Linked DNA regions of Mus musculus: all the other regions are reported to be linked to region 3. Evidence: microRNA targets listed by miRTarBase, many of them from high-throughput screens and not tested one by one. Region 3 holds a microRNA gene; each other region holds the end of a gene's coding sequence.

Evidence for each region. The annotated mature microRNA mmu-miR-362-5p reads AAUCCUUGGAACCUAGGUGUGAAU and lies in region 3 at 2,761-2,784, shown strand. An mRNA with a match to its seed (bases 2 to 7 or 8) in the 3' UTR can be bound and repressed. Matches are read on the target gene's strand: a 7mer-m8 pairs with bases 2 to 8, a 7mer-A1 pairs with bases 2 to 7 and ends in A, and an 8mer does both.
Region 1: the mRNA of Caskin2 is a reported target of mmu-miR-362-5p. The part of its 3' UTR that is shown has no 7-base or 8-base seed match.
Region 2: miRTarBase lists Ank3 as a target of mmu-miR-362-5p. The part of its 3' UTR that is shown has no 7-base or 8-base seed match.

The regions. Positions count from the first base shown.
Region 1 is chr11:115,795,358-115,800,417 of GRCm38, reverse strand. It overlaps Caskin2 (CASK-interacting protein 2), which reads left to right. Exons shown (of 20, transcript NM_080643.2): 19 at 1-58; 20 at 341-1,066. The coding sequence ends at 431. Tmem94 (transmembrane protein 94) reads right to left here. Exons shown (of 32, transcript NM_028014.3): 23 at 4,993-5,060; 24 at 4,604-4,793; 25 at 4,275-4,352; 26 at 3,943-4,028; 27 at 3,601-3,682; 28 at 3,140-3,288; 29 at 2,957-3,051; 30 at 2,762-2,855; 31 at 2,440-2,610; 32 at 1,385-2,143. The coding sequence ends at 2,071. It overlaps Mir5621 (microRNA 5621), which reads right to left and starts at 4,594; the gene lies at 4,532-4,594.
Region 2 is chr10:70,014,670-70,019,729 of GRCm38, reverse strand. Ank3 (ankyrin 3, epithelial) reads right to left here. Exons shown (of 43, transcript NM_146005.3): 42 at 4,077-4,162. The coding sequence ends at 4,097. Among named protein-coding and RNA genes, the nearest start is that of Ccdc6, 80 kb to the left of the region's middle.
Region 3 is chrX:7,239,731-7,244,802 of GRCm38, reverse strand. It overlaps Mir362 (microRNA 362), which reads left to right and starts at 2,757; the gene lies at 2,757-2,821. The region is part of intron 2 of Clcn5 (chloride channel, voltage-sensitive 5); the gene reads left to right. It overlaps Mir501 (microRNA 501), which reads left to right and starts at 3,452; the gene lies at 3,452-3,560.

The sequences.
Region 1 (5,060 bases), not on the chromosome of region 3:
CCTTGGAAGCCGCACTGAGGGCAGCTGAGAAGAGCATTGGCACCGAGGAACGAGACGGGTGAGCAGGGTGGGTGGGGTAGGGGGCTGTGCCCAGGAGCACCGGAAGGAGCCACTGCATGCAACATCTTGGGCTACAGAGGCCTCAGTGGGTCCTAGGTTTTAGAGTGGCCTACAGAGATCACTGGTGACTGTCACTTTACAGGCACGCTGATTTGGGTAACTCCTTGTCCCCGAGCCTCTGAGCTCATCGATGGGAGGTTGTAAGCAGTAAGCCCTGAGGTACACAGTGTTTGGCTGCAGACCCACTGGCCCATCTCATCAAGGTTTTCCCTTGCTGTAGCCCCACAGGGACGTCTACCAAGCACATTCTGGATGACATTAGCACTATGTTCGATGCCCTGGCGGACCAGCTGGATGCTATGCTGGACTGAGCAAACCTTGGCCTGTGACTCTCCCACCTGCCAGTGTTCACCGCCCTCGGCCCAGCGTGGAAGAAGCCCGTGCCACACAGGGAACAGGCAGAGGTCTGGTTGGGCTGGAGAATCCTTCCGTAGCAGAGGCCTCCAATGGCTTCAAGCAGTGGCTGGCAGTCACAGACAGGCCGAGAGGACTTGTCAGAACCTGACTGAGGGGCCTCAGCTGTGTGGGAGCGAAGCTCTCCCCGTGAGCAGCTGACTGCACAGCTATGGCCCCTGAACAGGGACCCTCGTAGAACATTCTCCTCTAGGAGGAGGTGGTGACAGGGATTTGGGGATGCACCTCCTTGCCTTGTCTAAAGTCCCTGTGGTCTGGGAATTTGTCTGGCCACCACTGAGTCACCCTAGGGCTCTGTGAGGCTGCGTGGTTGGCCAGTCCCCTCCGTGCAAGTGTACATAGGAGCTGTAAATACACAGCAGGGGCATGCCTTCCTGCCGGTGGCCTTTTCTGCTCCTGCCTGGCCATCCCACACTGGGAGGCAGCGCTGGCTGGGATCGGGCAGTGAGGTAACAGATCCCCAGGGCCCAGACTCTTACAACTGTACATAATATTTTTCAAGCAGAGAGAAATGCATATATTTTAAATGGAATTTATTCTATCTATTAACTGCCTGAGAGGATGCAGTAGGGGAAGGCCTTCGGGCCACAGAAGAACCGTCTACCCACTTCCTGCTGGAGGACCCAGTTGGTCTAGCCTGGGCTCTGTAACTATTAACCTCTTTCCCCAACTAACATCAATGAAAGAGTCATTCCACATGACTGGGCTGTGTTTGCATCTGTGCAGCAAACCTCCAAGTCCGGGGGTATCCCTTCACCCCGTCCTGGGGGCCACTCATCAGTGTAGAGTGCCGAGAGCTGCAGCCCTGGGAGGGAGCCTTTCCTGGCTGTTTCATGGATCCACCACAGGATGTTTTTTAAGCAATTTACAATTTTAATATAAACCAGTTGACATTCACTCCCCCAAAGGCTCATTTTCCAGTAAGAAAAAAAAAAAAAAAAAAGTAAAAAATGTCTCCCAGAACAAGGGCAAGGGCCACATGGGCCTGGGCAGGGTCCTCTGTGGATGACTTGTGGTCAGCTGACATGGGGGCCCCAGGGTGAGGTGGACCTTTTCCATCTTCAAGCCCAGAGGAAGGGAAGGTCTTCGGACCACAGGCAGGCCCTTGCCGGGGAAGATGGGACATGGGCAGGAGGATACAGCATCTTGAACAGCAGTAGCCTCTGCTTTCCAACAGACACTGAGGCTGCCGTAGATGCAAGAGCAGAGGGTGCCGAGTGAGGGGGCCCCTAAGATGGGGAACACATGGGGGAGGGGCTGAGGATCCCTTTACCAAGGGCCTGAGGTCATACATTCAAGAGTGCCCCTGGCAAGGCCGGGGAAGAGCCGAAGCAGGCAGGCCGTGGCTACAACCCTGTGGCTTTTCGTGAAAAAGAAGCCCAAGCCAGGAAGACAATTGTCTCCAGTGCCCACGGCTGAGCCTCCAATGCCATGAGGCACAAAGACAAACCCTGAAACATTTGTGATACCAACTTCCTGGTAGGTCTGGCTCTGTCCCCAGGAAGCTGGGCAGCTATGGCCACCATGGCCAGTGGCTCAGAAGGGCGAGTTCATGCCCAGCTTGGTCTCAAACTGCAGCTTCTGGCGCTTCTGGTAGCGGACACGGACCCTGGTGAAATAGAATGAGATACAGTTGACAACTTGGCCTGGTGGCTCAGGCCTGTGATTCTAGCTACTTGAAGGCTGAGGCAGGAGGATTATAAGATCAGGACCTATCTCGGTTACTAAGTAAAGATTGCCAGGGCTATAGCCGGGGGTGGAGTGTATTACAGGAGCTGGCTCAATCCAGCACCAGGAAAACAAACAGGCTGGTGTAGACCTTCAAATCAGAGGACTGAGCAGGGTGCCGACATTGAGGTGACAGGTTCAGGGTACAGACAGAGCCCAGTGGAGCTACAAGCTCACCGAATCTCGTGTAACTTTACAATCTCGTTGGTGACTACCACTAGGACCAGGGACAGGCAGCCCAGGAGCCATGTGAGCAGGGGCACATCTTCTAGGCCAAAGTGGACACGTGAGTCCCTGTGTGTCCACAGCTGCAGGTCCACCACTGTCTGGACCACCTGACCGAGCAGCCTGTGGGAGGAGACAGCCCCGTGTGAGCCCAGAGACCTCGCTTTCTTCCCTCTTTCCAAGTCCGACTAGTTGAAGGTCCCCCCCACCCCCTGGTCTTCCCCCCACCTGTGACCCCAGCACTGTCCTGTAGCCCCCATTAAACACTACTCACACCACAGGCACAGTCACGGCCCACCAGAGGTTTGTCAAAGGGCTCTTTCTCCACAGAGGCTTGGTGCGGTGTACATGAGTGATGGAGATAAAGACTAGAAAGATGGGCGAATGGGGTGTCAGGGCTTCCCAAAGTCTTGCCTCCCACCCTGAGGCCTCCCCACTCGCAGCAGCCCCCATGAGGCAGAATCCTTACCAGTGTGCAAAACAATCAGGGCGGCTGTGAGCTTCTGAGCGGATAGCAACCCATTGGCAAAATCCTCGAACCAGGCCGGCGCTCTGTCATCATTGCTGCCAAAGGAAGGCAAAGGCTCGGCCTCCTGAGGGCCCACAGGGTGGGGTTGGGTGGGGTGGGGAGGACAGGACTCCTAAGACCCACCTGCAAAGCATGACTGAGGAGCAGTTGGTGAGGTTGCGGGCCCGGGCGCTGTCACAAAAGCTCTGCAGCGTGAAGCCGAAGCAGACGAGGCAGGAGCTGATGGTGAGGCTGAACTTGAGCAGGAAGCAGAGCAGGAAGTAGTGCTGGGTCTGTGGCATACGGGAGGATGGGGAGGACGGGGAAGATGGTCATTCCTGTGGGAGGGCGGCCTCTCTGCAGGCTATGAGGCAGGCCTGGCACCTGCTCAGCTTTTCTAAATGTTTAGCAAGCCCTCAGCAGGTAAGTGCCCACGCCCCGAGGGTCAAGGCCCAGGGACCACATGCCCAGCAGGACTCGTCCTTGGTGTTGGCCACCGCCTCTCAGATCGCTGACCTCCGCAGAACCTTCCAGGTTGGGCTACTCCCAGCCCCAATGCTCAGCCCCTCTGAGAAGCCCCGGTGAGCAGGGTCTGCCTGGCTTACCTTCTTAGGAATGGACTGAAGGTTTTTGCCCGTTGCCATAGACATGATGGAGCTATGTGGTGGTTTTCCCAATAGAGAGATGCTGAAATTAAGTGTGGGTAAAGGGACAGACGTTACTACCTGGCTCCCAGCTCTCAGAGGAACGCCTACAGGGACTCTTGGCAGTGAGATAAAGCCCAGTACTGAGGAGAGACAGACCAAGGGGCCCTTGCTTGCATCAGTGCCTCCTTGCGCCAGAGGTGAGCCCTGAGCCACCCAGCCAGGAACCCCTGGGCCCCCTGAGACGCCCACTGACAACCTAAGCTCACTAGCAGGGCACAGAGGGGCTTCCAGGCCTCTCACCTGAGCAGAGGGTAACAAAAGCAGGATAGCCATAAAATGTCTGTGGTACTCAGGAGCGGTGGCAGCTGCACCAGACAAGACAGGAACTGAAGCAGGAAAGAAAACATCACCAGATTTGTAGCCCCCAAGGCCACCCACCTTGCCCTGGCTCAGGAGACTCAACATCTTGACCCAGAGGACCAGGTACAAGAGAAAATGTTTACAGGTGGGATCATCTCAAAAGCCTAGGGGTACACAGAGGCTCGTGACTATCCTGCACCCCCAGACTCCTCAGACTCTTAACTGTCCCTTCCTTATGAAGAGGGCCAATGCCTGTACAGAGCCTGGCTTACCTGAATGACCACGAGGGTCAGCTGGCACTGCAACAGGAAGAGGAAGCACTTTCGGATGCCGTAGGTAGCGTGCCGAGCCTGAGGATCAAGGGGACAGGTTAGGATGTGGGCATGCTGCCCCTCTCAGGCCCTACAACAAACAAGCCTCAGTTAAGAGCCACGTGCCCATGATGCTCTTAAGAGGAAGGAGCAGAGACAGCCTCAAGTGCCTTGGGGAGATTCACTTGTCCCTCCCAGGCAGGCCACACAGGCAGGAAGCATGAGGTCTGGAGGGCCCAGAATTCTCATGTTCTGCCTTCAGGGCGGCCCCAGGACCTCCTGAGCCCCACCTGCTCAATGAGCCGGATGATGCTGATGCTTTCTTCTTGTCGGAAGGTCAGGGAGCAAGGCAGGCTGTTGAGCTGCCCTGATAGCTGCAGGGGAGAAAGGCCATCCGAGGCCTGGGCCATGGTGGTGCTGGTGGCATAGCCAAAGGTCTCCCAGGAGCAGCGGGATGGGTATAAGGGATCCAGGGCAATGCTGCTCAGTGGAGGGAAGATCCACCCATGAGCGATACTCTATAACTTGTCTACCACAAGATGGGAGCGTCCCTTTCCTCTTCCCCGGCAGACCCAGGGACCAGGGTCTGAGTCAAGGCAAGCCTCTAGCTACGTGCAGGCTGTCCACCCAGGGTCGGAGAAGCAGAGCTTGGCCCCCAGTCCCAGTGCCTCTCGCTGACCTGACATCACTCTGGAGGAAGAGGCAGCTGTTGCGCAGGTTGGCCGAGCTCCCCAGGCAGCAAGTCAC
Region 2 (5,060 bases), not on the chromosome of region 3:
ATACTTCCTCCAATAAGGCCACACCTCCTAGTCCTTCCCAAACAGTTCAATCAACTGTGGAGCCAAGTATTCAAATATGGGCCTACAGGGCCATTCTCATTCAAACCACTACATTAGGCTTGGTGGCAAGCACAGTCACCTGTGGAGCCATCTTCCTGGCCCTATTTCTTTTTAAAAAGCAGTAATTTTCATTACAAAATGAAACTATAATCAAAAATTAAGGTTTACTTTTCCTTTAATTTTAGTTTTCGGTTTTTCTTTTCTTGTCTTTTTTTCTCTCTCCTTCCTTATTCCCTCCCTCCCTCCCTTCCACCCTCCCTCCTTCCTTCCTTCTTTCCTTTCTCTCTTTTTGGAGACTGAGTCTCATTCTTGCCTTGAATTCTGGATCTTCTTGCCTCCGTCTCCAAAGTGCTATGATTAGAGACGTGCACCAGTGCACACTTGGCTGAAAACTTAATGGCCTAATACCCATCTCACAACAGTTTTCCTCTTCAGCTAGTACCAATAAATGAGGCCTTTTCAACTTTGCTCTTTCCCAGCAAGGGGGTTAAGTGACATACTGGAAGCAGATGAATGCATATTTTAAAATGCATTTGCTTCATTTTTCTTTATTAAGCGTTTATTATATATCTGGCACTGCTGTGAAGTGAATTACCTCAATCCTAATAACAGGGTAGTATTAAGTCCCTACTACACAGAGAATTAAAATGGCAAGAGCCAAAATACCTGGCTTCAATTCTGTCTCCATCCTGTATCCGGAAAACAGATGGCAAGTTATCTGTATCTCAGATACATTCTGGGAAAATGTCCCAGAGAGGCCCCAAGTGGGATGAACTACCTCAGGCTCTGAAGGGGAGAGGAATGGTCACTACCTCCTCTGGCTTTGTCTGGGTCTCTTTGGGCTTCATTTCTTGGTAAAGAAAAGGAGTAGAAACCTGGTCTGCTGACTGCCTCAGTTTACCATGAGACCCATTGATAGTGACTGTAGCAAACCACCCTCGCCTGAAGCAGGGATGGATGGCTAAGCTGAGATCTCCCCCTGCTGCCACTGCTGTGCCTGAGCTTGGCCAGCTGCTACACTTGTTTCCTTCTTGCTTCTTCTAATACTTTTATAATAGAGCCTCCCAATTGAGGGTTCCTACAGGCTTAGCAACTACTGTTATTAAGCAATTTATGTGGAAAAACTGAGTGAGTTCTGAAACAAGTTGGAGGCATGTTACTACTATCTTTCTACAGAGGGTTATTGTTGTTCAACCAGGGGTCGTTCCAAGCTCCTTCACTGTTCCCTCTGAGGAAGTGGCAACATGCAAGCTGGATAACTTGGCCAAACCCATAGAGCTGGTAAGCTACCTGGCACCCCTATCGATTCACCTCTATGTCCCCAATGGCCACACGGAGATCTCCAGGCCCAGAAAGACTGCCACTGGGAATGATGGATAGGTAACTGAGTCCTCTAAACCTTGCAATAGTCCAGCCTCAGCGGCTAAAGAGCTAGAATTACCCGCATGCATTTCCCAGTTTGTGGGGGACAGGTATGTGAAGAGATGCATTTGCTGCTGGGGCCTGAACCCAGGCAGAGCCTTGTGCATGCTGGGTAAGTACTCTACCACTCAGCCTGTAACGCTAGTACTTAGCGGTTAGGCTACTTTGAGGTTTAGCGCGTATCCCCAAAGGCCTTGGGCTGTGCGGGTTAGCTCAGTGGTGACGCTTTTACCTAGCACATTAAGTCACCTCCTGTGGGTTTTAGAGAGTGAAGATCAAATCCCCACAGGTGAGTAACTTGGAGTTCATTTTGAAGACCATCTATCTATATATAGCCTAATGGAATTGTTTACATTTTTTAAAGATTTATTTATTTTTATTTATATGAGTACACTGCCTCTGTCCTTAGACACACCAGAAAAGGGCATCGGATCCCATTACAGATAGCTGTGAGCCACCATGTGGTTGCTGGGAATTGAACTCAGGACCTTTGGCAGAGTAGTCAGTGCTCTTAACTGCTGAGCCATCTTTCCAGCCCCCTAAAGGAATTGTTAAACATTGACTATTTTTAGCTATTTACTGTCTGAATAACCTTGAAAACATTTTATTGTAATTAACTAAATGAGAATCTAATATGACCGTGCGTTTGACTATCTGACCATGAACTTACATTACTTAATTCTAAACAGTTTGTAATAGCAGCTATCGAAAGGCCTGGGTCTGAGCCTTGTATTCCCCAATGAGTTGTATAGGCACAACTTCTATCTAAGAGTAGCACAACTAATTTTAAATTTTGTATCAATATACAAAGATTATGGCTATAAGATGCTTTAGGAATAAATGTAATAATCTATCCCTGTTTGTCTAATTTCTTATAATATTACTCTATTCCCATTTTCTCTTTTTAACCCCCTTCCCTTTACCTAAGAAAGAAGGACAGAGGAGAGGAAAGAAAGACAGAAATCCTTGAGTCTGAGCTCTCTATTTAGTTTCCTCCCTGGCCAAAACTATAATTATTTGTGAATTATCCCTTAAAATGACAACATATCTATAATTCATAAAGTGACTGAACCCATCCACCCCAACCTCGGAGACCGAGATGATGGTCTTTCTCTATTTGCTTCCTGTTGACTTGGGGCGACCCGCCAGGTCAGGTCTGCAGTGAGTCTGAGGAGGAGCATTCGGGAGGGAGTCAGTTAGGACTTATTTCCTAGTTCTGCTGCTTTTATGAGACTGTGGGTAATTTTCTTAACCTTTTAGGACCCGCTGCTTAAGTTAGCCGGGGACACTAAGGGTGCCAATCCAAGAGAATTAGCCACAAAGAAAGACTCTGGAGTCCACATGGTAAATTCTGTTTCCAGGGCATCTGTGGTGAACACAAACATGAGTCTAGTGCAGCAGGCATCCTGCGATTGCTGTTTCTACGGAAAGCAAGCCTCACAGGATGCAAAGGAAAGGTTATCTGTCAGGGATAACTAAGGATCTTCCTGGGAGGGTGGAGATGCAGCTCAGACGGTAAAGATTCATGAAGCCCCCGGTTTGGTCTCCAAGACTGCATTTGATCCTCGAGACTGCATAACTGTGCATGGTGTGGTACTGACCTGGAATGCTAGCACGGGGGAAGGGCAAGTGGATCAAGAGTTCGGGGACATCCTCAGGCACAAAGGAAGCCGAAGTCCAGCCTGGGCTCCCGCAGGTCACGTTTCAAAACAATGAAATAAAACCTAAGCCGTAGGTACCTAAAATGAGGTTATTTCTCAACCCCTTATCCCTGTAATGGAGGATCAGGGAGTTTTTGGTGGCAGGGAGGACAGGTGAGAAAATGAGACTAGAATTCCTACTCTCTGTCACTTTGACCCAGAGACTGAAAGGACAGAGAGGAGAGGCCCTGAAGATACAACTTCCCAAAGCTGTGTCCTCACCCCAGATTAGCTTTCTGATCATATCTGTATCAAAAAGGCACTAATGTGAAATCCAGAAAAACAAGAGCAAGAGTCCACACACATGTAAACAGCGTACTTAATAAGCATTTAACTTCTAGAAAGCCTGTGTGATTGGACTCCTAATTGTGTCTATGCTTACATAAAAAGGTGTATGGAATTCCAATTTAACTTAGATGTGGAGACCTCCACCCTCCACCCCCAAACAGGGTTTCTCTGTATAACTTTGGCTGCCCTTGAACTCGACACTCAAACTTGGGCACAGGCCATCAGATCTGTTGTCTTTCCACAATGACTGTACATACCAGGGAGCCTCATGGTGAGAGAGTAGCAGACTCAAGTCATGCTTGCATGTGCTTCTGCAGAAGCCATAAACATGGAGAATGTTTATAGACCCAACTTGAGTTAAAGTTCAATGTGCATATGCATGTATGTAGATACATACATACACATGCATAGATATACACACTTACATATATACATATATACATCTGCATTCATGTAAAGAAATAAAAACAAGATTTATTTCATTTCATCTTCCAGTGAGATTTCAGGAAAGAAGGAGAAAGGGAATATAGGAATATACTTATTCCGAGAACCCAGAAAATTCTCAAGATTTTTAAGTCTAGCTGCTGACGTAAGTGTACTTCCCACCTGGACTGACGTCACTGTCACTAGTGGGTTTTCTTCTCCACGTTCCGGATTTCCTTCTTCGTCTTCACCTTATAGCCTTCTCCCTGCTGGAGGAGAGCACATGTTACGTGTTTGCAGTGGAAGAGTTTGAAAGCAGTTTCCCACACTGATTCCTGGAGGCTGGATTAGGAAGGAGAAATGGGTGAGAGCACCAGGCCGTGTCGCATCCTCAGACACAGATGACCTTGGCTTTGACTGCACAGAGCAGCTCCCCAACATGCCACAGCATGCGTCAGCACTTTCAAGGTAATGACAGCATAACGAGACTTCATAACAACACGGAGGGTTAATGGTTTCAAAGAGCAGTCAGCCTGTTTCCTAACATAAGGTGGAAGAAATTGCTAAACATACCCACAAAGCACCTGAACCCCAACCGTTAACGATCCCCATTGGTTGTAGCTGATGAGATTTGTAGGTCAGCGGAGCCATAACTAGTCTGTGGTAGTGTGACTTGGACTTCCCAAATAAGCACGAAGCTAGGACAAAGTGCCCTGGGTGGTCCGACAGCTTCTCTGTAATTAGTTTATAGAATTACCATCTCTTCTCCATCCTGGTCCAAGACAGCACCAACTTCTACAGATTGGAGCTGTCTTTCCTGAATACCAGGTCCACACTTCTCTGACATCAAGGCACTTCACATTTAGTTTTTACTCTAACAGAAGACTCAGTGTTCTTTTCTCTATTCTCACCTGGTCCTCAGAAGTTTTCAGTTTGCTTTTAAAAAAAAAAAAAAAATATATATATATATATATAAACATAGTATTTAATAATTTACTTTCTACCCATTAAATAGGATAAAGATTTGGGAAACAGCAAAGAATAATAGCAAGATATCTTCTATGGCAGAAAAGAGTTTGTTGGGTGAACTACGTTCAGAGTTGAGTTAGGTTTCATGTTAGTGCACTGGTCTTGGGGCGGCGCAAACCACGACACGACAGTGGAGTT
Region 3 (5,072 bases):
ACCTGCTGCTAGTGTTTTCTACATGCAGCTGGGATTCAGAAAGAATTTAAAGATGGAAGGCTCTCTTGTTTGCCTGTGTGTATTTATAGCTAAGTATTTCTTAACAATGGGGATTTCTGAGAAATATGGTTGTTAAGTTATTTTTGTCGTTGTATGAATATTATGGAGTTGCCTAGTTACTGTTCTATTGCTGAGAAGAGACACCATAACCAAGGCAACTTATAAAGGAAACAATTTAATTGGGGGCTTATTAAAATTTCAGTGTGAGTCTATGACCATCATGGTAGGGAACATGGCAGCAAGCAGGCAGGCATGATGCTGGGGCAAGAGCTGGGAGCTCATATCTTATTGCAAGTTAGAGGCAGAGGCAGGGGAGATATTGATGGAGAGAGAGAGAGAGAGAGAGAGAGAGAGAGAGAGAGAGAGAGAGAGAGAGAGAGAGAAGAGAGAAAGAGAACATGAACACAAACAAGCTTGGGCCTGGCTTGGGGTTTTTGAAAGCTTAATGTCTACCTCTAGTGAGCTGACTCCTCGAACAAGGCCACACCACACCTTCTAATCCTTCCCAAAACAGCTTTACCTACTAGGGACCAAGCACTCCAGTATATGAACCTGTGAGGGCAATTTTTATTAAACCACCATGGGAGTGTATAGTTAAACTAATAAGGATTACTAGGTGATGAAATGTTATGTGACTACTATTGTATATGTAGTTTGTGGCTTACCAAACACCATGTAGTATGTGACTATAGTTCTGATTGTATGATAGTGTGCTGATATGTGGAGCCAGTGGTAAGTTGGGCAGTCCAGTCTTTGTAGCATGTGCATACAGGAGGATGAAAATCATTCTCACTGTGTACGATCACATATACATGCCTGAGAAGCTGCAGGATGCACTTCCTTACTTTAGCCTCCACTTTCTAAGTGTCAAACCTGATTCATCACGTTCTCAGCACACATAGGCAACCTTCAAATGCAGAGGCCCACTGACAGCTTAGCAGGAACAGAGTCCTGCTCCCCTAACCTTGTTCTCTTACACCTCTAAGGAAGGGTAGTGGGCTCTCTTGGTTTTCATCTTTGACGGAGCTGTTATAGGAAGGTATACTTGTTTGTTAACACTGACATTTTTGTAAACACATACCTAGACAGTCATAGATATGCTTTTGCATCAGCTGGGTAGATAGGAGAACAAATATGAATGAAGCCCATCTATAGCTAGGTGTACATCATATATAGGCCCGTGAGCATAGAAGGTTTCTTTTGTTTGATACACTTGTTTTCTCATAGAGAAAAATGCCTTACTGTCATTCATTTATATTCGCTCTCCCCCCTTCTCTACTTCTCCCCTCTCTCCTTACTCCTGACTCTCTTCACTCTCTGTGACATATAGTAGGAAAGTGAAAGATTGAAACTTGTGATTTTGTCTTTCATATCCCTCACAGAAAGGGGTGTGAACTTCGTTGATTTAGGCACATTGAAGAAGAATTACCAGAGAGCCAGTCCTTGCATTGCCTTTTACAGATTCTCCGAGTCACTGATATTCATGCCTCCTTCACCTGGCTTTTGCATATATGAGTATGACCATACTATTGTAAACAGGACATTCATTTAGACACATGTGTACAAAAATGGTAGTGTAAGAGGTAAAAATAATAGCCAGGGGCCAGGTCCTGCATCCTACTCTAGGCTTGCATCTTACCTAATTTTTTTGGTACTCTTTAAAGAGATAGCATTTGTTATTCTCATTTTTTAGAAGTAGTCCATGACCTTGGAGAAAGCAGGTAGATTCTTTAATCCAGTACATGGTGAAGTATAGGTTTGAAACAGGGTTTGTAGATACCAAACTCCACAGTTTCTCTGTCTTATCCATGATGCTGGTAAGGTCCCCAGCATCACCCAGCCCCTTTTAGAAATACAAAATCTTGAGCTCACTAATGAGAAACCTCTGTAAGTTATCTTAGTACCAAGTCCTCCAGGTATCTGAAGTAACTTTAACAAGATGCTGATGTGTGTTAAAGGATGCCAATCTCTACTGCCATCTTGTGAGCTTATGGCCTCTTCTCTCTGTCTCTCTGTCTTTTTTTCTTTCAGTATTTTGTATCTCTGGCTTTATATTTTTATAATCTCAGAACAAAATATGAATGTATATATTTAGACAGGTTTCTCTGTCTCTGTCTGTCTGTCTGTCTGTCTGTCTCTCTGTCTCTGTCTCTCTTTGTCTCTGTGTCTGTCTGTCACTCTGTCTCTCTCTCTCTCTCTCTCTCTCTCTCTCTTTCTGTGTATGTGTGTGGAGGGTGCAGAGGTCAACCTGAGGTGCTTCCCCTTTGGGGACATCTACCCTGTTTTTTGAAACAGTCTCTAATAGGGACTTGGCACTCACCAGTTAGGCCAAGGGATCTAGCTTTCTTTGAGTCCTCACGCTTGGCTCTTTTATGTGGAGGCTGGGAGTTGAACTCAGGTGCCTAGACATACTTAATGTGAAGCTCAAGAACATTGTCTTCTTTCTCATCACAGATAAGCACCTTGTGTCAAAGGTGAGCCCATGCGTTCATTTGCTGTGAGCCTTTTGCCCTGCTTCAGTTCTCTGATCCTTGCTACCTGGGTGAGAGTGTTCTTCAGCAAGGATTCTGAGAGCCAGACCTTTGTGTTTGTAAAGGACAGAGCGCATCTCTCGTTCTCTTTTAGTGTGTTGCACACAAGCATATTGACCACACACAGGAAGGGCAGGTTCCTGAGCCTTCTTGCTTGCTCCCCCTCTCGAATCCTTGGAACCTAGGTGTGAATGCTGCTTCAGTGCAACACACCTGTTCAAGGATTCAAAGAGGCTGAGCCTTGTCTGCGTGTAGAATGGCCCATACTTGCACATCTCACCTGCCACCTTCCCTCCTCCTGGCCACCATTTGATTTTGGTTTTAGCTGTCAGACTTGGTTCTACACATTTTCTAACAGCAAAATGGTCTTTATCATGTTTGGTAGACATGCTTCTATTCTCAGCATGAGCTTTCTTGATTCCCAGTTTGCTAAGTGTCAGATCATGTGATGAGGAGCACACATTAGGTGCTGCTACTCAGGCAACCCGTTTGTTACATCCAGTGATAACCCCTGTTCCACAAAGCTTGAATTGTATAAAGGCATTGGAAAGGAATGGAGTATCCTCCTCCACTGTGCCCTCTTTCAGTATGTATATGCATTCTCAGATCCCAGCCTTCTTGCTACCTTCCAAACATAAATCAGGCCCCCACAAATTCTCAAGTATGATCTGGGAGAGATACCATTTTGTATACGTAGAAGTTTTCTCTGAGAGAGGATGCTCATGGTGGGAAGGGGGCAGATACATATATAAATCAGGGATGTCAAGCTTGGGTATAGGTGGTGATGCTTGGCTGAATCAGGACAAGGAAAATTAAATATTATATACAGAACCACACAAACATGGTACAGGTGCCTGGGCCTTCTGCTCTGCTCATCCTCTCTAATCCTTTGTCCCTGGGTGAAAATGCTATTTGTATGCAATGCACCCGGGCAAGGATTTGGGGAAGGTGAGCCTGATCTGCATGGAGAAGGACAGGAGGTCTGTGCATCATATCTCATCTGTTTGCTGCTTGCATACTTCTTTTATGCCTCCCCCCACCTTCTTTCCTTCTACAAATACAACGGGCATGGTGCATGGGAGAGTAAATGTGACAAATTTGGCCTCTTCCCACCTAGATTTTATAGGTAGAACTTTATTTCCACTTATGACCCTAACAGGTATCAAGAACAAGTGGGGCACATAGTAAACTGTGTATTGACATAAGTGCGCAGCTTTTCATTCTAGTTCTCATACCGACACCTGGAAGAGAAATTCTTCTTTAGTTCAACTCTTGGAGGAATGCACAGGGCAAGAACAGTAAGCCTTCTTGTTGAACCCACATGCCAAGGGCATAGGTGCAGGCTGTGCCTTTCTAGTACTTGCTACTTGGATGAGTGTGCTTTGCGAATGCAATATACCTGGGCAAGGGTTCAGACATTGAGTTATCTTCATGTAGGACCTTTACGCCTCCTTCCACTGTTTCCTGTCTATTTATTCAGTATGGCAGGTACTCAACTAGGGATTTGGTCCACAGGAGTATGAACCACATGTGGTTCAGGGAGCAAATGGTCCAGGGAGAGTGAGCTGTGTCACATCCATTATGCCTGCATGAGTGGACTGTAGACTGGGACTTCATGTACACTGTCCACTTGGATTCTTCCATATTTTAACACAGTCCCATATAAATGCAGTGTATACAGAGGAGAGGATTCACAGACTTGTGCCCACAGAGAGGATTATCTGACCTGATTCATCAGGAACATTAATCCTCAGCACAAGTGCTGTTTTCAATAGTAAGTCCTGTCCAAGGAATCCAAAGGGTGGCACTTCGCCTGCACTTTAAAGGACAGAGCCCCTATATGTCCACACCCCTGTTCCTTTTCCTTCCTTTCACAAATATTCAGGTATGCACTATTTGATACAGCTCTGTTAGTCATAGAGGATGTAGCAGGAAACAAAATGAACAGAGGTGCTACTCTCTTAGGAGACTAATAAACACACTAAGATCCTTGACTATTATAGACTCACCAACTGCTGTTCAAAAGAATGACCTAGGTCTATTGTTCCTTGTTTTCTATTCTGTATGAATGACTCAGTGCAGGGTCTGATAGATGAGATTTCTCAAACTATTCCCCCTCCCATGGCCCTAGATATGCCTAAACACATGGGCCTACGTGGAGAGGAGTCACTCGCTCACAGGAAGAGTGGATATGGAGCCTATTGTGTTGTTCCCTCTCCTCATCCCTTCAGCCCGAAGACCAGTAGACTAAGTGACTTCTTGTCAACTACCATCACTACTCCCATTTGAAGACAGGAGCTTACTGTCTTACTGTGTAGCTCTGTCCCTCAAGCTGATTCTCCTATACCCACCTCCATAGGTCATACTTTTCTACACACATTTGCAAGCTGGCCTGGGCAACATGTGATCCCAAAAGAAAAGTGAATCTCTTTCATGTTAAAAATAGTAGTCTTTATATCATGTATATTTTTTATTCAGATG